Tribolium castaneum: one gene and its partners. The main gene of each other region encodes a partner of the protein of the gene in region 4 in a complex. Links are inferred from orthologs where the notes say so. Each region holds a gene or a part of one and is shown on either strand. Other genes may lie near its edges. The genes, in order: Orc3, Orc2, Orc5 and Orc4.

Region 1 (4,821 bases), on a different chromosome or scaffold from region 4:
CTAAATGCGGGGAACTGTAAACGTTTCCTCTTATTCCCTGTATTATGGGGTTAAATAAATCTACGTAGTTTGGTATATTGTTTAATTTAGTTTCAAAAAACAAAGAAACATTATCGACGAAAAAAATCTATTTCTATGTAAACCAAAAATAAAATAAAAAGATAAGTGTTAAGAAACCAATATTATGATGCCGATCTCTTCGATAGGTTCCATAAACGGCACAAACCGCAACTAATTAGCTGTTTATGAGCCTCCGGTTTCTGTAACTTATCGAAAAGACATCTGTTCCATAAATGCTGCTTAACTGCCTGCAGAGAAACTCTTTTCACGAAAATTGCAATATTTTGTTAATTATGCAACGAGTTAATAAAATACGAAGTAGTGTATTTTTGTCTGTTTTAAAACATGTCACAAATTTTGGCGTGGGTTTTTTTATATTTTATAGACCGTTTATCATTATTCAAAATTTTAATACAACTGACACATTTTTGGCCCAAATGACCCACTCAGTATCGCGGTGCCTTCCACACAAATACTATTATAATCCAAATTAGAAAAATCTGGCGACAGTTACAGCTACAGTATAACTGTTTTTGATTTATGAATTGGCAGTATACGGAGGTGTCGAGTCAACATATCACTCTGTTTGCCTTATTTGGATAAACGAGTTTCTTCAAGAATAAACAAAACATTGGTTTGTTTATTCTTGGAACATTATGGCAAAAAATAAACAATTTGATACAATTTTTAGGGAGTTAAGCCTCTGTTTTTCCACACGTGATTGTTGCTTTTGTTTTATGTTTCAAGAAACCGTGCAATTATTTCTTTATCAGTCAAACATCGCAAAGTTATACACTTCACCTGCAGAGTAATACGATGACACATCATGTTTCAGAGCAATTTTAAAACCTTATACCTGCTGTGCTTACAAAATGCACTCTGCAGATGGCCAATACCGTAAAACGTGAACCACCTCAAATTAAGTATTTACATAATTAAGTAAGTAACCATGGGTATGTAAAGTATACCTTGACATTAATTTAAAAACTCTTTTCGGTGGGTTTTTTTCGATAAAATCTAAAATGGAAACGCTTCAAAGCACTAGTAATATTTTTTATTCTTGCGTTGTTTAATTATTTAACATCTCATAGTCATAACTCATAACTAGAGTTAGGTGTTTAGTGTTGCCTTGATTTTTGCTCTTGTTCTAATAACGTCTGGCTACAGATTAATAGGTTAATAGGTAGCCAAGCTTGCAAGATGCTATTTTAGCAGATGAACATAATCGTAAGCTGAATATATGGAGTGAGGAAGTTCAATGCTACTACGTATAATAAATAGAACGTTAGATTATGGAAAGGTCTGTGTCAGATTACAAAGTTTACTGAAATTTAAATAAAATGTTGGGAGTTCCACTGTACTTAACTCTGACGGAAGTACACTTTCCTGCTTTAGGAGTGCATTAAATTAGTAATAATTTTTTTATTTATATATTATTTTTATTTATTTATTTATTATTTATTTTTTGCTTGATACACCTAATAAAGAAAGATCTCTCGTGCGCTAAATTATTTTTTTATGGATGCGATTTTCTTAACTATACCGTAACTAGCTATCCTCTCCCTCAAAATGTTTTTTTTTGAAATTCTTATAATCAGTTATTATTTATTTCAGAAAAAAAATAAAAAATACAAGTTACAATGTTACAATTTACAAATTCTTTACACGCCACAATAAAGCTTTTGAGCATGCAACCAACAATACAGTGATAATATTTTTAGTTTTATTTAATTTTTGATTAACACAAATTAATTTAGCACAGCCATAATTGGATATATTTAGTGTGACACAGCACAGTAATATTTTTAATCAAAATTTGTATTTTTTACTTTTATGGTTTTGGAAACTTTTCATAAAAAGCGCCACCAGCTTCAAAATGGCTCGTAATGTCAAATGTCATTTTTCAAATTGTTGTTTGTTGTAACAATTGTAACTTATTTGTGATTACTGAACAATTTTAATCTAAAAAATTTATTTAGTTTTACGCAATAGAGTTACGTGAATATTGTTTATTGAAATGGCTGCGACCGTGTCCGTTTCAAAGGTAATATTCGAAACCTAACCTGAAAACTTGTGTTAAAATTGCGCTATTTTTCCTTTGTAACACTCTTTTATCAACGTTTTCCGCCTCTGATATGCGTACTTAACACTAGTTTATTGCAAAATCAAGATTCAGTCGTACTGAGATTGCATTTAATGATTGTTCACAATTTGGCGCCAATTTCAGGGTGTTTTTGTCTTCAAAAATGGGGCTAAAGCAGCTTCAAAAAAATCCAGAACGAAAGACAAACGTACCCAGAGTCTCTACTGTGATAGCTTGTGGTATAAAACTTACAAGTCTTTGTGGGAATCAATCGAAACCCAAATTCAAGTACTAATCCTCACTTTCGTGCGCTAAGTATTTTTTATTTGATTTATTTTAGGAATTAAATAACGCCATGTTTTCCAATATCCTTTGTAGTTTAGTAAATTTTCTCAAAAACTGTTACAAAGACACAGTGAGTGAAATCCCAGCCGCAGCTTTACTCACTGGCATAAACATGCCCGACCATTCAGTCCAATTCAAAACGCTCAAAAAAGAAATCAAACGCTCAATAACACCACACGTTGTTACTCTCAGTGGCGAGGATTGCCACAGTTTGAAATATCTCGTTGAAATAATGGTCAATCAATTAGTCAAAAGCGAACAACTTATAGATGAGGTAAGAAAGTAAAAGGCGTTTCGTTTCAATGATGCAATGATTTCCGAAGGATTCTGACTCAGACACGCGCCAGATTAAAAAATCACAGTGCAGTTTCACACTTCTCCAGGCCTGGTATGAGGAACTCTACCAACCTCCAGGAACCGCCAACTCGCCAAAAAAGCAAAAAACCAAACACAATAAAAACATAATCGTTGTTATAATCCCCGATTTTGAGAATTTTGCCCCGAAAGTGTTGCAAGATTTTATCCAAATCGCGAGCTCGTATCTAAACGTTTTACCCTTTGTCTTTGTTTTTGGAGTTGCGACGTCCCTTAACGCCGTTCATCGGTCACTCCCTTGTTACGTTTCCTCGCGCATTAACATCCAGGTTTTTCACTCAACTCCCTCCACGGTTTATTTGAACAACATATTGGAGAATATTTTATTTTCGCGCCAGTGCCCCTTTCACTTAGGCGGCAAGGTTTTTAATTTATTCACCGACATTTTCCTATTTTACGATCTTTCAGTCAGCGGTTTTATCCAGAACTTTAAGGTGATTGCGCCGAAAATTGTGTCACTTTTTCGTGAAATTTTGGTTTTAGTACGCCATGCTTGAGCATTTTTGTTACGGCAATGTTATGGCCCTCTGTCAGAGGAAACACATCAAGCAAATTATCTCCGATTTCTCGCACGATGATCTCGAAAATGCTCGTCGGTTGATGTCGTTCCGAAAACTGGTCGAGAGTGAATCCCCGGAAGCCCGAATCGCGCTCCTGACTGATGATAATTATTTCAGAAATGTTTTGCTGCGGGAAGTGCGCAAAATTGTGGCGTATTTGCCGAATTTGCACTTGTTTTTGAGGTGCTTGCACGTTCTTGTGGGGGATTTACCCAAAGCGCCTTTGGGGAAACAGGTGTCAAGTATTTTCATTGCAATCGTCAAATTAACTAGGTTTTGAAGGTTCGTGAACTGTACGCGTGTGCCGTTTCACGAAATATTACCAAAAGTCAGGAATATAAAGAGTGTTTCCAACTACTGGCGTTTCAATCGAGGGACGAATTGTGTAACAAAGTGAAAAGAATCACGGATTTAATTGTTAATAACAGTGAGGGTTTGGAAGTGGGGCGTGTGATAACCGATAGGCTTAACCGTTTTTTGGATAATTTACACAATCTTGATCAGGAAGAAGACGAAAATGAGGTGGCCCAAGAGGGCATAAGTGAACTAATGGGGAGATTACAACTCAGAGAGGTTTTTTCCGGTGATTTTTTATTACGTGTCTAGTTTTTTCTTCCAGAAATTGCTCCAAATGTCGAAGCAAAACAAACCGATGAACAAATACGAGAAAATCCGCTCAGGCTTACTCAATTTTTTGTCCGAACAGTTCGAAATATATTTACAGGAACCGACCGATTTTCACTTTCACGAAATTTTCTTCTTTAACGACATTTCAGTCCAGACTCACATCATAGGCTCTCACAGGGCGGCTATTCACACAGCGCTCAATGACCCCCACGTTTATTTACAGGTAATTATTTTTTTACAATACTTGTGTTAACACGAAGGGGAAAATACTGTATTGTTTTAGTGTCCTTGCTGCGAAATTGCCACCGATTCTGTGATCCTTCCCTCAATGCCTGACATCAGTATCGTCTACAAACTCCACTTAGAGTGTGGGAAAATGATTAATTTGTACGACTGGCTCCAGTCTTTCCTTAGTATTGTTGACCCACAGGAGACTGAAGACAACCCGAAAGTCAGTCCTCAGTTGCAGTATCCTTTTTTTGTTTTTATTTTATTTTTTTTAATAAAATTTGACTTAACGCACATTTAGGGCCCGATTTACGCAGGCTGTAGCCGAACTGGAGTATTTGGGATTCATCAAGAGCTCCAAAAGGAAGACTGACCATGTGGCCAGACTCACTTGGGGTGGCTAATTTTTTCTACCAATGTCTTTATATTTATTAAATTTTTCTACCAATACTTTCGCCAATAATTTAAACCCACTGTTTAATGGACTCTTTTATGCCTTTACAACCCTCTGAAGTTGTTAAAAGTACAGAAAAAAAATCATAG
Region 2 (4,173 bases), on a different chromosome or scaffold from region 4:
AATTCGTTGACATTGATGCCAACATTTCGGTGTGTGAAATTTATTACATTGGAATTATGACACTGGTTATCACGGATAAAACCGTCAATGAAGGACTTTTTCGTGTCAAGCATTTCATAAACATCAACATTTTAATAATAACAATGTAAAACACCACAAGTGCGGTTTTATTAGATCGAAAATATGTCACACTTTGATAACACCGATTCCTAATTTTAACCAGGGTGAGATAAAACACGGCGTCCGAATCAAGCTCGGACGTGACTTTTCTGATACACTATTCACAAAACGATGATATTCTTTGAAGAAAAGCAGGTAAGGATAGTGTGTCAATATATTGAATTAATGTAGCCCTTGGCCTGACCCGGATTTGTTGAATTACTTAACAATGTCTGTCCGGAGCAAAACGGAGTCAATTAATAACGCGGGGGGCTAAAGCCTCGCACTGGCTGCCACCCCCGTGCACGCAGACGGTTTAACCTTGGAAAGTTCACACCGAGAGATAAAACGGATTGTTTGTTTTTATTTACAAATTGCCACAATTTCCGGTCATTCTCACACCGCCTCGGCCGGCTTTCGGCACAGTTACGAGCAGCCACATTGGGGCCATTTCGGCCCCCTCGCGTGTCCCAACGACCCGAAAAGTGGAAGCACCAACAAAAGATAACCTTCAAAAATAAACATATGATACTCACCCAGGAATTCACCACGCATTCATGCGCCTTCACGGCGGCGACATATCGAAACGACACACAATAACATTTTTGCGTACAATTCGAACAATGATCGTCTGAACCAAGCGAAAAATTCGATTTTTTGACTCAAATAAAATTCAGCACTGCGAAACCATCTTGTTTTTTAGTTCGACTGTCTTCCACGAAGATGGCAGCAGGTGATTCAAACGCGAGCGCCAACTTAAATTTTTATTGGAAAATACAATCAACCGGAATGTTCATTTAAAAATTGCTGTAATAACGCGTTTGCAATCGGGATTATCAAATACTCAGTCCCGTCTGGCGCTCTCTTGAACTTCACCATTTTGTGGTCCACGAATTCGGTGAGTTGGGCCCGCAATGCCAGGTCCGAACTCACCAAAAATGCCTCGCGGCACAAAGAGTACAAGTCTTTAAACGCCAGGCCTGCAACAAATCAATCAGTTTTGAACGCACAAACTGATAAATCACCTTGATAGTATTGTTTTTTGCCATTTTCGATTTGATACTTGACGAGGATTAAGTAAATTCCTTTGGAGTTGCTCGTCAGTGATAAGAAAACGTTCCGAAGCGATGATAAGGCCAGGTTTCCGGTCCTTTGGACCAACATTGAGCTTTCGAAGGACGTTTCGTCAATATAGCGTTGGAAAGTGGTAACGTCCCACCACGTGAAATTGAATTTACTTATTTTGGAATGGTCCCAAACTAAAACAACAATCAAAGTTTTTGCGCACTACTAGAATTTTTCATTACTTAGGGGGGCATTTATGTGGTCAATTGACGCGATTAGATGAATGTTATTGACTGACGCGAGTCTTGCAAAGACACTTTGGGCTTTTCCACTCCGCATCATGTCGATGTTGTGCACAATGAGGTATAAATGAGTTTCGGGAATAAAACTAAATTCGCGCTCGATAAGGTCGCAGGCCTCGTAAATATTTGAGGGATTTTCCTTCAGTTCTAGTAAATTTAAAATAATCCCGTCAAGGACATCTTTAATTGATAATGAAGGGAAAAATCCGTTCACGACAACCGTTGGCAACTTCTTCAAACACTTTTCGTGAAAAGCATTCAAAACGCCCTTCTTTGAGCCCAACCCATACAACAAAATATTGAAATTTTCATGCATCAAATACATCCACTTATCAAAATAGGCGCAATTCGTCTCGATTAATTTTTTCGTGGCTTTTTCATGCTCACACCCTAGGCTAACTCTCGACAAAAGTTTATGCAGTTGGTCTTGCGGCAGTCTTGGTGTCTCCAACTTATCTAAAGTGTGATTGGACGTTAGAGTTTTTTTACTGGCGTGTTGTGCGAAATAATCGTCTGTTTTTATAGTGTAATTGACTTTTCTCGCTCCTAAAGTGGGTTTAATATTTTTGTTTTGCGGGGGAGGCGGTGTGTCGTCACTGCTGGAAGACTCCTCTGAATTTTCCTCAGACACTTCGAATTCACTCTCACTGGCTGAAAAATCATCTCCGCTCGAACCATTCTCTTCCAAAATTTTCGCCACGATATTTTTCCTCATTTTGTCCCTAAAAGCGTGCGGCGTTTGTTGAACGACTTCGCACTTTTTGCGCGTTTGAAACGTGAATAATTTATCACCAGGGACATGGTCATTATCGTGCAAAACTACAAAAAACTCATGAAGGAAGTTATACAACAGGCAAATGGTCCACCTGTTGGTTTTTCACTACTCTCACAATTGGAATCGTCCTCAGACTCAGTTGCTGTAGAAATATTCAGTTTTTTAAAGCCACGTTTCCTCCTACTGGAAGTAGATACGTATTCTTTAGCTTTTAGACTCAAATTGCGTTGCCGGGAACCCCTGCGGGGCGAAAATAACTCAGGGTCTGCACAGTCGTCTAAAATTGAGGTTAGGTGGGTTCTCAGGTCAAATAAGAGAGAAATTGGTACAAACCTGCCATTTCAGACCACTAGTAACCTTAAGCAGCAATTATAATTAAAGTTTAGTGCAAATTGTTGCTAATATTTCGATATTAAAACGTTTGGCGCCCTCCAAACTTAAAATTAAAACAAAGTGACTATGCAACCAATTATACACTTGACATTTAGTCATTTTTAAAATTTTTTGGAAAGCTGTATGTAGAGTAAAAAGCAACGTTTGGACGAAATTTCAGCATAATTTACTATGCTAGTAATCTTTACCAACTAACAATTGCTATTATTTGGATAGTCTCGGTCAAGTTATCATATTGGTGTGAATTTATATATTTTTTTTTTGGCTTTTTATTCCGAGCATGTGGCCCCCTAATTACCTCATGGAAACGTTTTTTGGAAGTAACCCCGCCAAAACCCGAGTCGTAGAACAAATTCTATTTATACCACCCACGGGTGTTCTAAAATAACTAGCGACTTTGAGGTCGATCTTGCGGCATTAAAACACGATTTTGGTGTACTTAAATAAATTTAATGAGCATTATGATTACAGTTACAAAAATAATCAATGTCTAAAAGAAACCAACTAAAAATTAAAGATATTGCTTAGACAACATTAAATGTGCCCACTTCACATGGAAGTGGGAGACCAAAAATTCATTTCCCTAAGTTCTGACGGTTTGGGTACAAACACCTGACTCCTCTTGCCATTCGACACCTCATCCACACTCAAATTCGACTCTGTCCTCTTCATCTCCTTCTCCTCTTCAGCGATAAAGCCCATACTCTGTGACAAATTCTGCCTCTTGGCCAACAAATTCGACAAAATCCAACTGCCCTGGTGTTCGGAGTCGACAAAAGGCCCCGTGAAGTATTTGTTCACGCGTCGCGTGCTTTTCGGGGACGAGTTGGGGGACGTCAGGGGCGACGCGGGCAACGACTTGCTCCCTCGACGTAACGAAGGGTTGAAACCCTCTGGGGGCAAATCACAATCTTTTTTCTGGATGTCAAAGCCACGGATGGCTTTCCCTAACACCATCTGGTGGGCCACTCGCACCACAGAAGTGCCGCATTTCGCGGCCTCGCCTTTGAAACCGTCGTCCACGCCACTGGACTTGGTCTTGGTGGCGGAGGGGAAGCGGACCTGTTGGGCCGTGGTACTATCTGGAAAAGACCATATGGGGCTGTTACCACCAAGGGAATGGCGTTACCGGTCAAGGGGAGGGGCTCCATGGTGCGCGCGGACGGCCATTCAACAATGAACTGGATTTAGACTTGTTTGCGTTAGATAAGTTTCAATACCGGGTGGCCACATATTAACGAAAGGAAAACAAAGAATTCACTTGGAATTATTTATTGTGGACACGTGGTGCAAAATTAACAATGAAGTGTGGTTAAAAACACAAAGAGTTGGGACGTAGTAAACAGCGTTACGTAAAACATTTATCGCGATTTTGAAGCAAATAGTGCGATAAAAAATTCAGTCAACATTTGAAAATTTGCGTCAGTGATAAGTGATAATTGAGATAACTTACCAATCGAGTTCTGGAGAAACTTCTGG
Region 3 (3,994 bases), on a different chromosome or scaffold from region 4:
TTATGAAAAAGTGTTACATTTTCTGAGTATGTCCGAAAATTAAATTTCGGCAAATATTTTCGTTTTATAACGGTTTAATTTTTAAGTTAGTTGAAACCCAAATAAAATAAAGAGCTTGAGCTCAAAATTGGAAGAATTCCAAATTTTTGTGCGCTGTAGCAACAAAACCGAATTTTTTGCTGAAAGCTAATCTATTTTTCAGACCAAACTCCAACTACATAACAGAATTATCAGCAATTTGGGAAGATTTCATTATATTGTTACAAATGGTTCAGTTACTTTGCAAATTCGGAGGTAATTATAACCGTTAATAAAAAAGTAACCGAATTAAGTTCGCATTACGAGCAATTTTTTCCGTAAATTTCCGAAATTTCATGGTCCAAACATCACAAGCCACTTATCCTAATGCATTTAGTCGTTTATTGCCCCACCGTGCGTCTCCTATCAATAGATCTGTGACAAGCCGATTTTTTATGTGTCCATAAAGCAACCTCCCCCAAGTCTATAACTCTTTATAACGTCAAAGAAGGGCCAGTTTCTCTTCAGCGTCGTTTATATATCTCGTCCTTAATCCAGTCGAGATCACATTAAATATTTGTCGTCGGCGGCGGTAAGCAAAGCAAAGAATGGAAGGGAAAAATCGCTCACCCTTTTCCATCGTCACTCAATCGCGCCGTAATGTCATTTCTTTATTTATCTTGGAGCAAGAAATCACATCGCGTCGCGGCGGCAGCGTCGCGGTGCGTCTTCCCAACGTCCTTTTTTTGGTCGGTGTGTGGCGTGGCAGTGGTGCTTTTACGAACACAAGTCGCGGCGGCAGATGATCGTCTTCGCGAGCACGAATCTCGACTGCAGGAGGCTCGAGGTCACAACCGCTTCCACCAGGAGTCTGCAAGCGGGTCGCAAATCGATGAGGGCGGACTACGCAAGCTCCACTGTCACTGGCGCCCCGCACACACCATTTTTTAGACACTATCGCCCCGCAATCGGACATTAGACGCACTTACTTCGACGATAATTACCCAAAGAAGAAGTTTTGACGAAATGAAGGCGACGAGAATGGCGACTTGCACAACGGGGCTTTCGCGTGTAAATCAAGAGATAATCGAAGAAAGTCGATGGGAAGGAGATGGTATTCCGGGCACGCTTCCCATCGTCCGGAATTGATGGCGACGTGAGCTTTTGTTGGGCGGGCGAAAGGCTACGATACACTTTTTCCTCGGTCGGATTAGTAATTTGATGCGGATATTGCATTCGTGTGTTTGGTATCGATTCTTTGGAGGAGAAATGTTTCGGAATGGGATTGTTTTGCCGGACGGCTACTGACGTAGATTTAATAAATCATTTTTTCGATTAATTGGAGGAAAAATTGGACAAAGTCTACAGAGCACTCGAACTGAGAAATGCGATGTTCTTGCCAAATTTAAATTATTTATTTAAATGCAACCAAAATGTTATTCCAGAAACGTATGGCTCGCAGCAAGACAAGAAAAGTCGTGGTTTTGTCTTGAAATTAGTACCAAGACCGAAATTATTAGTGTGAAATATTCAAGAACTTTGGTCCAAAAAAAGCTTATGAATTTTTCAAGATTAACCACCCCCCTCTTTGTCACCAAGACGATTTTTGCTGACGTTTTTCAAAATTAATAATGAACCGGAACATCAATTGTTATTAAAATGTCCACGGATGATTTTTCTACTGGAGCCAAGTTAAGAGTGTTTGACAGTAGATTAGATGAAATATGTTTTTGGTTTGGCATTATGACATTTGAGCAGAGGATTTGTTCTGGTTGCAGGTTAATAGCGATGATGTCCACACTATCTCGCCTGGAGTCGACTTTGCCCTGTCGCTCCTCCCAAATAGGCCAACTTTATAATCTCTTCGGGCACAACGAGGAGCCGTTTCCTGGCAGCGTTTACATTAGCGGAGGTCCGAGCGTCGGCAAATCCATTGTTGTTAGTCGAGTTTTGGAGGAAGTTGGTGTTAAGCATGCAGTTATCAATATGATCGAATGCTACACCAGTAAAATCCTGTACGAGACGATTTTGAGCAAGCTTTGTGGCTTAGTGGATACGAAATGCGAGAACATGATGGATTTCATTGATCATTTGCAGCGGAATCGGTCCGAAATACACCGATCTGTGCTAATTATCGACAAAGCCGACAAGCTCCGGACTATGGATTTCAACATATTTCCGGGATTTCTCAAACTCAAAGAGCTCACCGGAGGGATTCACATAAGCGTCATTTTCCTCTCACAAATCATCCTTCAGAAGTTCTATTCCAAAACTAACATCGTCGAGCCGATTCAAATCACCTTTCCTCAATACAACAAAGATGAATTACTGGAGATCCTCACGTTGGATATCGATTATGCCCGAAATCTGATTATCAATAATGCGAAAGGTGGAGGGTTTGAATTTGACGTCGACTTTTATCGAAATTACTTGAATGTTTTTCTTTCGGTTTTTTATCGAAACTGTCGGGACTTGACAGAACTTCGTTATATCGCCAGAAGTAACTTTCTCAACTACTGTCAACCGATCATCAGTAAAGAAAACACCATCAGCGATTCGCTGGCTTTGTGGAGAAAAGTCGCACCCACTCTCAAACAAGCCCTGCAGAATCTCTATCTGAGAGTCTCAACAGTCACTCTACCGCAGAGCCTCGAACTGCCCTTCTATGCCAAATATCTACTAATTGCTGCCTATCTAGCCAGCTATAATCCTGCAAAGGACGATAAGAGACTGTTCATGAAGTATCACGGAAAGAAAACGAAAACTTTGAGAGATGTTAAGAAGAAAAGTAAAGTGAGCGAACAGCTGAACACTGTCCTGGGACCCAAACCCTTCAGTTTTGATAGATTGCTGGCGATTTTTTATTCCATAGTTGAGGACAAAGTCGGTTTTAATAACAATCTATTGGTACAAGTGTCAAGTCTAGTGGAACTGCAATTGCTATCGAGCTTATCCGATAGTTCAAGCCTGGATGGAGCCAAATACAAATGTAACGTCAACTTTGATTTCATCCAAACAGTGTGCAAGATGGTGGGTTTCAACATTCGCAAATATTTGAGTGATTTCAGTCACATGTGAATGAGTTAATACATTTTTCTAATATAAGATTGATTTTTTCTTTATGCCCGTCCTTCGGAAGTTAAATCACTTAGCTCTATGATGCGCCTTGTTTTACGATTGGTCCGATTTTTACTATTGGTTATCGAGGCGAACGTTTATAGCTGGAAGTTACGAGGTAGGTAAGGAGTGTGGGTGTCTCGAGAGGATTGTCTTCTTTTTGCCAAAGGGGAAATCAGAGCTTGGCTCGGTAAACGCAGTAAAAGCATCGTCAATGGATATTCACGGAGTGTCTTAAAAAAATCGCGCAAGGGATGTAATAAGCTGCTAATGCGAGGTTACGACCGCGCGTATATCAAATTTGATGGTATTGACGGAGGAATTATGTCATTAGGCCGCGGCCTCGATGCAACGATCGATGCGTTTCATTGTGTGTAGGGCACAGCGGGTACAAACGTTGGGGGTAACGGGACGGAGCGGGATTGATGGGCCAGTCGGCGTTTGATGAATGATATTTTAACTGTTCATTGTCCATACTGAGGGGAATTCGCAATTTGCGGGTATTTTATTTCGGTTTATTTGGTTCGGGACGGCTGATGATTGGATAATAATTATTAATTGTTGGCAATTAAGGAAGTAAAGTTTGGTGAAATTATATTGACCTAGTGACGTGGTGAACAATATAATATGGTTTCGAGCGTTTCAGCTGTGACAGAGTTTTTCTTTATAAATTAGATGAATCAAACCAGCCGCATTTAGTTTATAATTACAAAATATTATTTTGCTTTTACATTGTCAAATTATGAAACGATTCGGTTGTGTCGGAGGCTTGGTCTGCCAAACGAGCTTGATAAAAATCACCATAATTCTCCATATTTAAAATTCTTCTTTAGTTTCCCTTAGATTCCATCCAGATTAT
Region 4 (3,792 bases):
CAAGGGCACCCCCGAGAGTGATTTCAGTATTGAATGTTTTCAAAACTACACAGCCCCCGAGGTCTTTATCCAAGGCCTAGCTGGGATAGTTGATCAACAGGATGTCGAATCGATGATAAGAGCGCAAAAACAGATGTACAAAGTTTGTAATTATAATTTTGCAAGTCATTCATGATCGTTCCATTCAAGGTTACAAAGATTCGAAAAAACTAATGAGATGCTCACTAATTGCAATGCGTTAAGTGCGAACCGGTTAAAAACGATTGCACCCGAGTTCAAAAAACACACACAGCTGTTGTTAGAGATGAAAAAAGACTTGGACTATATTTTTAAGAAAATTCGTGCTATTAAAACTAAACTCTCAACGCAGTATCCCGAGGCGTTTGCCGAGGCTGTGAGGAGCAGTCTTGCTGAGGAGTGTGAAGAAGACGAGGATTTGAACGAGAGCAGTGCTCAGAACAAGAAGGACAATAGACGGAGTCTTCATTTGAAAAGGACTGAAAATGTTGAAGTCGAAAGGAGGGCTTCTCAATAAAATTTAGCTTATTACAAACTAATTTATTTAATTAAGAAGCATATTTTTGTGTAAATAATTGTGCTTTTTTCACAAATTCTGAATTCATGTTTCTGTACTCTTCTGCGATTTCGGCCATTAAAGGATCTTCTGGATTTGGAGTCTCCAAAAGCATTCTTATCGCTATCAGCAAACCTTCCAATCCTATTGTGGGCCTCCAACTGCCCTTAGGCGGCATTTTTATTAAATCTAAACAAATTCTCCCGTTGTCATCAATATTGGGATGATACATTTTCGTAATAAATTTGATTGAAGGTGGAATAAAGGGGTACTTCTCAGGGATTAAAATTTCCACTTTAAAAATTCCGTTTTTGTACGGGGTGTTATCGGGGCCAACAATTTGAGCTTCCAGTACATTTAGCTTATCGTCTTTGGGCGATACACTAATACCCACAGGGGGAGAGTTTGATATTTTCGCCAATTCACGAGATAAACGTTGGTGTTGCATTTTTAATTAACACAAAAAGACCAAGAACAATTTATAACCTCATTTCAACACACCACTTGTAAACCCAAAAAACAAAACTGGTAGTTGGAATATTATAAAGTAAAGCTTTCCTTATGCATTCCGACACGAGTTCTTAAGTGTTATCACATTTTTAATTTCAAAAAAATTGTTCACACATTTTTGGCGCTCAATCACAATGCAATTGAAAATTTATCACTCCGAATACTTACAAAACCGAATTCTAATTTTATTAACCGGTCAGCGTTTTGTATTAAAGATTTAGTAAAATATATAAGTGGCAGTAACAAGACACGTATGAAAATAAAGTATATGGTCAGTAAATGTAATAAAAGCAAATTCGGTTCTAAGCAAAATCGATCAAAATTAGCAGAAGTCAATGCGCGGGAAAAGATTTATGTTGGTCGCTCTGCGTGTTGACAACAAGTGTCAAAGTTGTTTTTAAAATGAAGAATTTAAGTGATAAAAACGTACTTAATCTACGTAAATTCCTCAAGAACAACATTTTAAACAACAGTGATTTCGTGGGTCATGAAGATGAGCGCCAACAAGTGTTTGATTTGTTACACAGGACCATCACTTCAGGAGAGTCAAATTCGGCGTTACTCATAGGCCCCCGTGCTTCCGGAAAAACAACAGTGAGTCTCTGAATAACCCTTTGAAACCACTTTATAGCATTGTTGTTAACTAGTTAGTTGACAATGTCTTGCGGGACTTGCAACCGTATTTTTCATCAGACGCAATACTGGTAAAATTGCATGGTCTAATCCACACAGACGATCGTATAGCTTTGAAAAGCATAACAGCGCAAATGAATCTAGAAAACGCCGTTGATGGCAAGGTTTTTGGGAGTTTTGCTGATAACTTAACGTTTCTGTTGGCGTGCTTAAAGTCAGGCGAGAGGGGCGTTTCAAAGAGCATTATTTTTATCATTGAAGAATTCGATTTGTTTTGTTCACATCACAACCAGACCTTGCTGTATAATCTGTTTGATGTGTCCCAGTCAGCACAAACACCAATTTGCGTTTTAGGTGCGTTATAACTATTTTTATTCCAGTTTGAAGTAATTTCCAAAATTTTGTAGGCATTACTTGTAGATTAGACGTGATAGAATTGTTGGAAAAACGTGTCAAGTCTAGGTTTTCCCACAGACAGATTTTCCTGTTTTTAGGAAATGATAATGAGAATCATTTAGATCAAAGACTGGCACGGTTACAAAAATATTTTTTGGTTCCAATTCAACAGTCATTAAACATTGTTCCATCGTTTAAAAAACAGTGGAATTCGAGTGTTCACACTTTACTTAAGGACAGGAATTTTAAATCTCTCATGCAACGACTTATAGATTTAGACTTGAGTGAGCGAAGTTTGAAAAATATTTTGGTAAGGATTGGACAAAGTAAAGACAATCACTTTAAAAACGATTTATTTTAGCTGCTTGTGGTGTCTGAACTTAACGATGTTAACAATAAATTAGCGTACGATACGTTTTTAAAACAAATAGAATTGTTCGAGAGAGATGAGACAGTTCAAGTGTTGCAAGACTTAAGCGTGCTTGAACTGTGTTTAATAATAACAATGAAACATCATTGTGAAATCTACGACAATCAGCCGATGAATTTTGAAATGGTCTTTAACAGATATCTAAAGTTTGCAAACGCTAATTCCAATATTCAAACCGTTGAAAGGCCTGTAATAATGAAAGCTTTTGAGCAAATAGAAGTGAGTAAAATATCGTTATTATTTCTTCTATCTACATCCAAAATCATTTTTTAGAATCTTGAGCTCATCTCTCCGTTAACCACCGGCAATTCTACGGTACAAAAGGAGTATCAACTGTTTAAGTTGCTAGTCCTTCCTCACCAAATAACAGAAGCTGTTAAAAAAATAACTGGGTTACCAACGGAAGTAACTCAGTATGCCAACAGTTCCTTAGTTTAGTTAAAATTGTGATAATTATCGAACTCCTCAACGTATAATTTTGCAGCTTTGTACAAAAACTCAACCTGGCCCTAAAATAAATTTTATTTTAATTAAAAATTGTTTTCATGCGGCACATAATACGAGAGTGTATTACGTGTTGCTGACCTACCCATTCCTGGACAAATTGCTCCCGACTTTGCCTCACGGCCCTAATAGCGGAGAAAACATCACATTCCTGCTCGTAATTAATTTTTTCGAGGAGAAAAGCAAGGGCGACAAACAGGCCACTAGCGGTGGCACCGTCGCTAAAAATTAAATTTTTCGAAAATATTTTTTTTTAATCGGACGATTATGTATGCTTACTAGCAAGTGACAACAATCTGACTAGTGCCCTTCCACGAGTTACTGAACATTTCCCTCCAGACCATAATTAAGTCTTTGACGTTTTTTGGCTGTGGAGTTTCGCGTTTCCAGTTCTTAAGTTCCAAGACATTGATGATTTTGTCGACAGATGTGTCGCGCTTGTCCATAATTTTTAATTTTGTGGTGGAATAGGTTTTATTGTTGTTTTCCTCTAAGATTTCTAGACTTGTGGAGTCGGTATCAAGTGCCCAAAATTTGGGACAGCGCTGAAAATTACAATTAAAGCATGTTGTGGTTTTTTGTTTCAATTACTGGGTCGCTTCCGTCGATTTCGTTAAGTGAGACAATTGTGTTAATTTCGCGATATTTGATCATTCTCCAAAAATCGTCAAGGGTGTTTGGTAGGGGCTGTTGTGTGACGATGAATTTTTTGGGGCACCGGTAGCAGTCCACAAACACCGCGTTG

What was found.
Region 1: the proteins of Orc4 (region 4) and Orc3 are in contact, whole or in part, in a cryo-EM structure (PDB 7JPO), measured with the Homo sapiens proteins. The link is inferred for Tribolium castaneum from reciprocal best matches to the Homo sapiens genes ORC4 and ORC3. Residues at the interface, in NP_001177808.1 of Homo sapiens: Pro370, Lys374, Glu377, Gln381, Ser392, Gly393, Asn394, Ser395, Gln396, Arg397; in NP_036513.2 of Homo sapiens: Thr227, His260, Arg261, Leu262, Leu263, Pro264, His265, Ala266, Ser269.
Region 2: the proteins of Orc4 (region 4) and Orc2 are in contact, whole or in part, in a cryo-EM structure (PDB 7JPP), measured with the Homo sapiens proteins. The link is inferred for Tribolium castaneum from reciprocal best matches to the Homo sapiens genes ORC4 and ORC2. Residues at the interface, in NP_001177808.1 of Homo sapiens: Lys168, Asn169, Arg195, Glu200, Leu201, Lys204, Arg205; in NP_006181.1 of Homo sapiens: Asp501, Asp504, Tyr508, Ser512, Gln518, Glu522, Val554.
Region 3: the proteins of Orc4 (region 4) and Orc5 are in contact, whole or in part, in a cryo-EM structure (PDB 7JPO), measured with the Homo sapiens proteins. The link is inferred for Tribolium castaneum from reciprocal best matches to the Homo sapiens genes ORC4 and ORC5. Residues at the interface, in NP_001177808.1 of Homo sapiens: Ser18, Gln21, Arg22, Arg25, Glu26, Cys29, Arg30, Gln31, Arg69, Thr74, Asn100, Leu102, Leu103, Gln104, Ile105, Ile109, Glu113, Arg116, Asp162, Arg277, Met281, Met284, Leu285, Asn288, Met311, Asp312, Ser313, Lys314, Asn316, Ile317; in NP_002544.1 of Homo sapiens: Ile17, Ser20, Leu21, Phe22, Gly23, Glu24, His26, His27, Phe28, Ser29, Phe30, Pro31, Tyr36, Gly37, His38, Thr39, Thr98, Phe99, Asn100, Val103, Arg104, Arg131, Glu134, Asn136, Pro139, Gly140, Arg143, Gln145, Glu146, Leu147.

Annotation. Positions count from the first base shown.
Region 1 is NC_087398.1:1,394,911-1,399,731, forward strand, and holds Orc3 (origin recognition complex subunit 3), read left to right. Parts: upstream 1-1,928; 5' UTR 1,929-2,077; coding exon 2,078-2,104; intron 2,105-2,287; coding exon 2,288-2,431; intron 2,432-2,483; coding exon 2,484-2,762; intron 2,763-2,811; coding exon 2,812-3,297; intron 3,298-3,346; coding exon 3,347-3,658; intron 3,659-3,705; coding exon 3,706-3,996; intron 3,997-4,042; coding exon 4,043-4,273; intron 4,274-4,333; coding exon 4,334-4,518; intron 4,519-4,579; coding exon 4,580-4,682; 3' UTR 4,683-4,728; downstream 4,729-4,821. UniProt on the Homo sapiens protein: Component of the origin recognition complex (ORC) that binds origins of replication. DNA-binding is ATP-dependent. The specific DNA sequences that define origins of replication have not been identified yet.
Region 2 is NC_087397.1:6,382,076-6,386,248, reverse strand, and holds Orc2 (origin recognition complex subunit 2), read right to left. Parts: upstream 2,793-4,173; 5' UTR 2,642-2,792; coding exon 2,635-2,641; intron 2,579-2,634; coding exon 2,393-2,578; intron 2,346-2,392; coding exon 1,467-2,345; intron 1,419-1,466; coding exon 1,185-1,418; intron 1,140-1,184; coding exon 940-1,139; 3' UTR 911-939; downstream 1-910. Other genes in the region: uncharacterized protein LOC655336, read right to left, coding at 3,244-3,776, 4,148-4,173. UniProt on the Homo sapiens protein: Component of the origin recognition complex (ORC) that binds origins of replication. DNA-binding is ATP-dependent. The specific DNA sequences that define origins of replication have not been identified yet.
Region 3 is NC_087395.1:24,006,781-24,010,774, forward strand, and holds the end of Orc5 (origin recognition complex subunit 5), read left to right. Parts: intron 1-648; coding exon of another isoform or gene 649-658; exon of another isoform or gene 659-1,344; intron 1,345-1,776; 5' UTR 1,777-1,806; coding exon 1,807-3,096; 3' UTR 3,097-3,123; downstream 3,124-3,994. Other genes in the region: uncharacterized protein LOC663028, read right to left, coding at 649-658. UniProt on the Homo sapiens protein: Component of the origin recognition complex (ORC) that binds origins of replication. DNA-binding is ATP-dependent. The specific DNA sequences that define origins of replication have not been identified yet.
Region 4 is NC_087396.1:11,891,051-11,894,842, forward strand, and holds Orc4 (origin recognition complex subunit 4), read left to right. Parts: upstream 1-1,414; 5' UTR 1,415-1,486; coding exon 1,487-1,678; intron 1,679-1,731; coding exon 1,732-2,071; intron 2,072-2,124; coding exon 2,125-2,423; intron 2,424-2,452; exon of another isoform or gene 2,453-2,474; coding exon 2,475-2,816; downstream 2,817-3,792. Other genes in the region: kxDL motif-containing protein CG10681, read left to right, coding at 1-135, 190-535; receptor-type tyrosine-protein phosphatase F-like, read right to left, coding at 2,978-3,052, 3,133-3,268, 3,327-3,592, 3,639-3,792. UniProt on the Homo sapiens protein: Component of the origin recognition complex (ORC) that binds origins of replication. DNA-binding is ATP-dependent. The specific DNA sequences that define origins of replication have not been identified yet.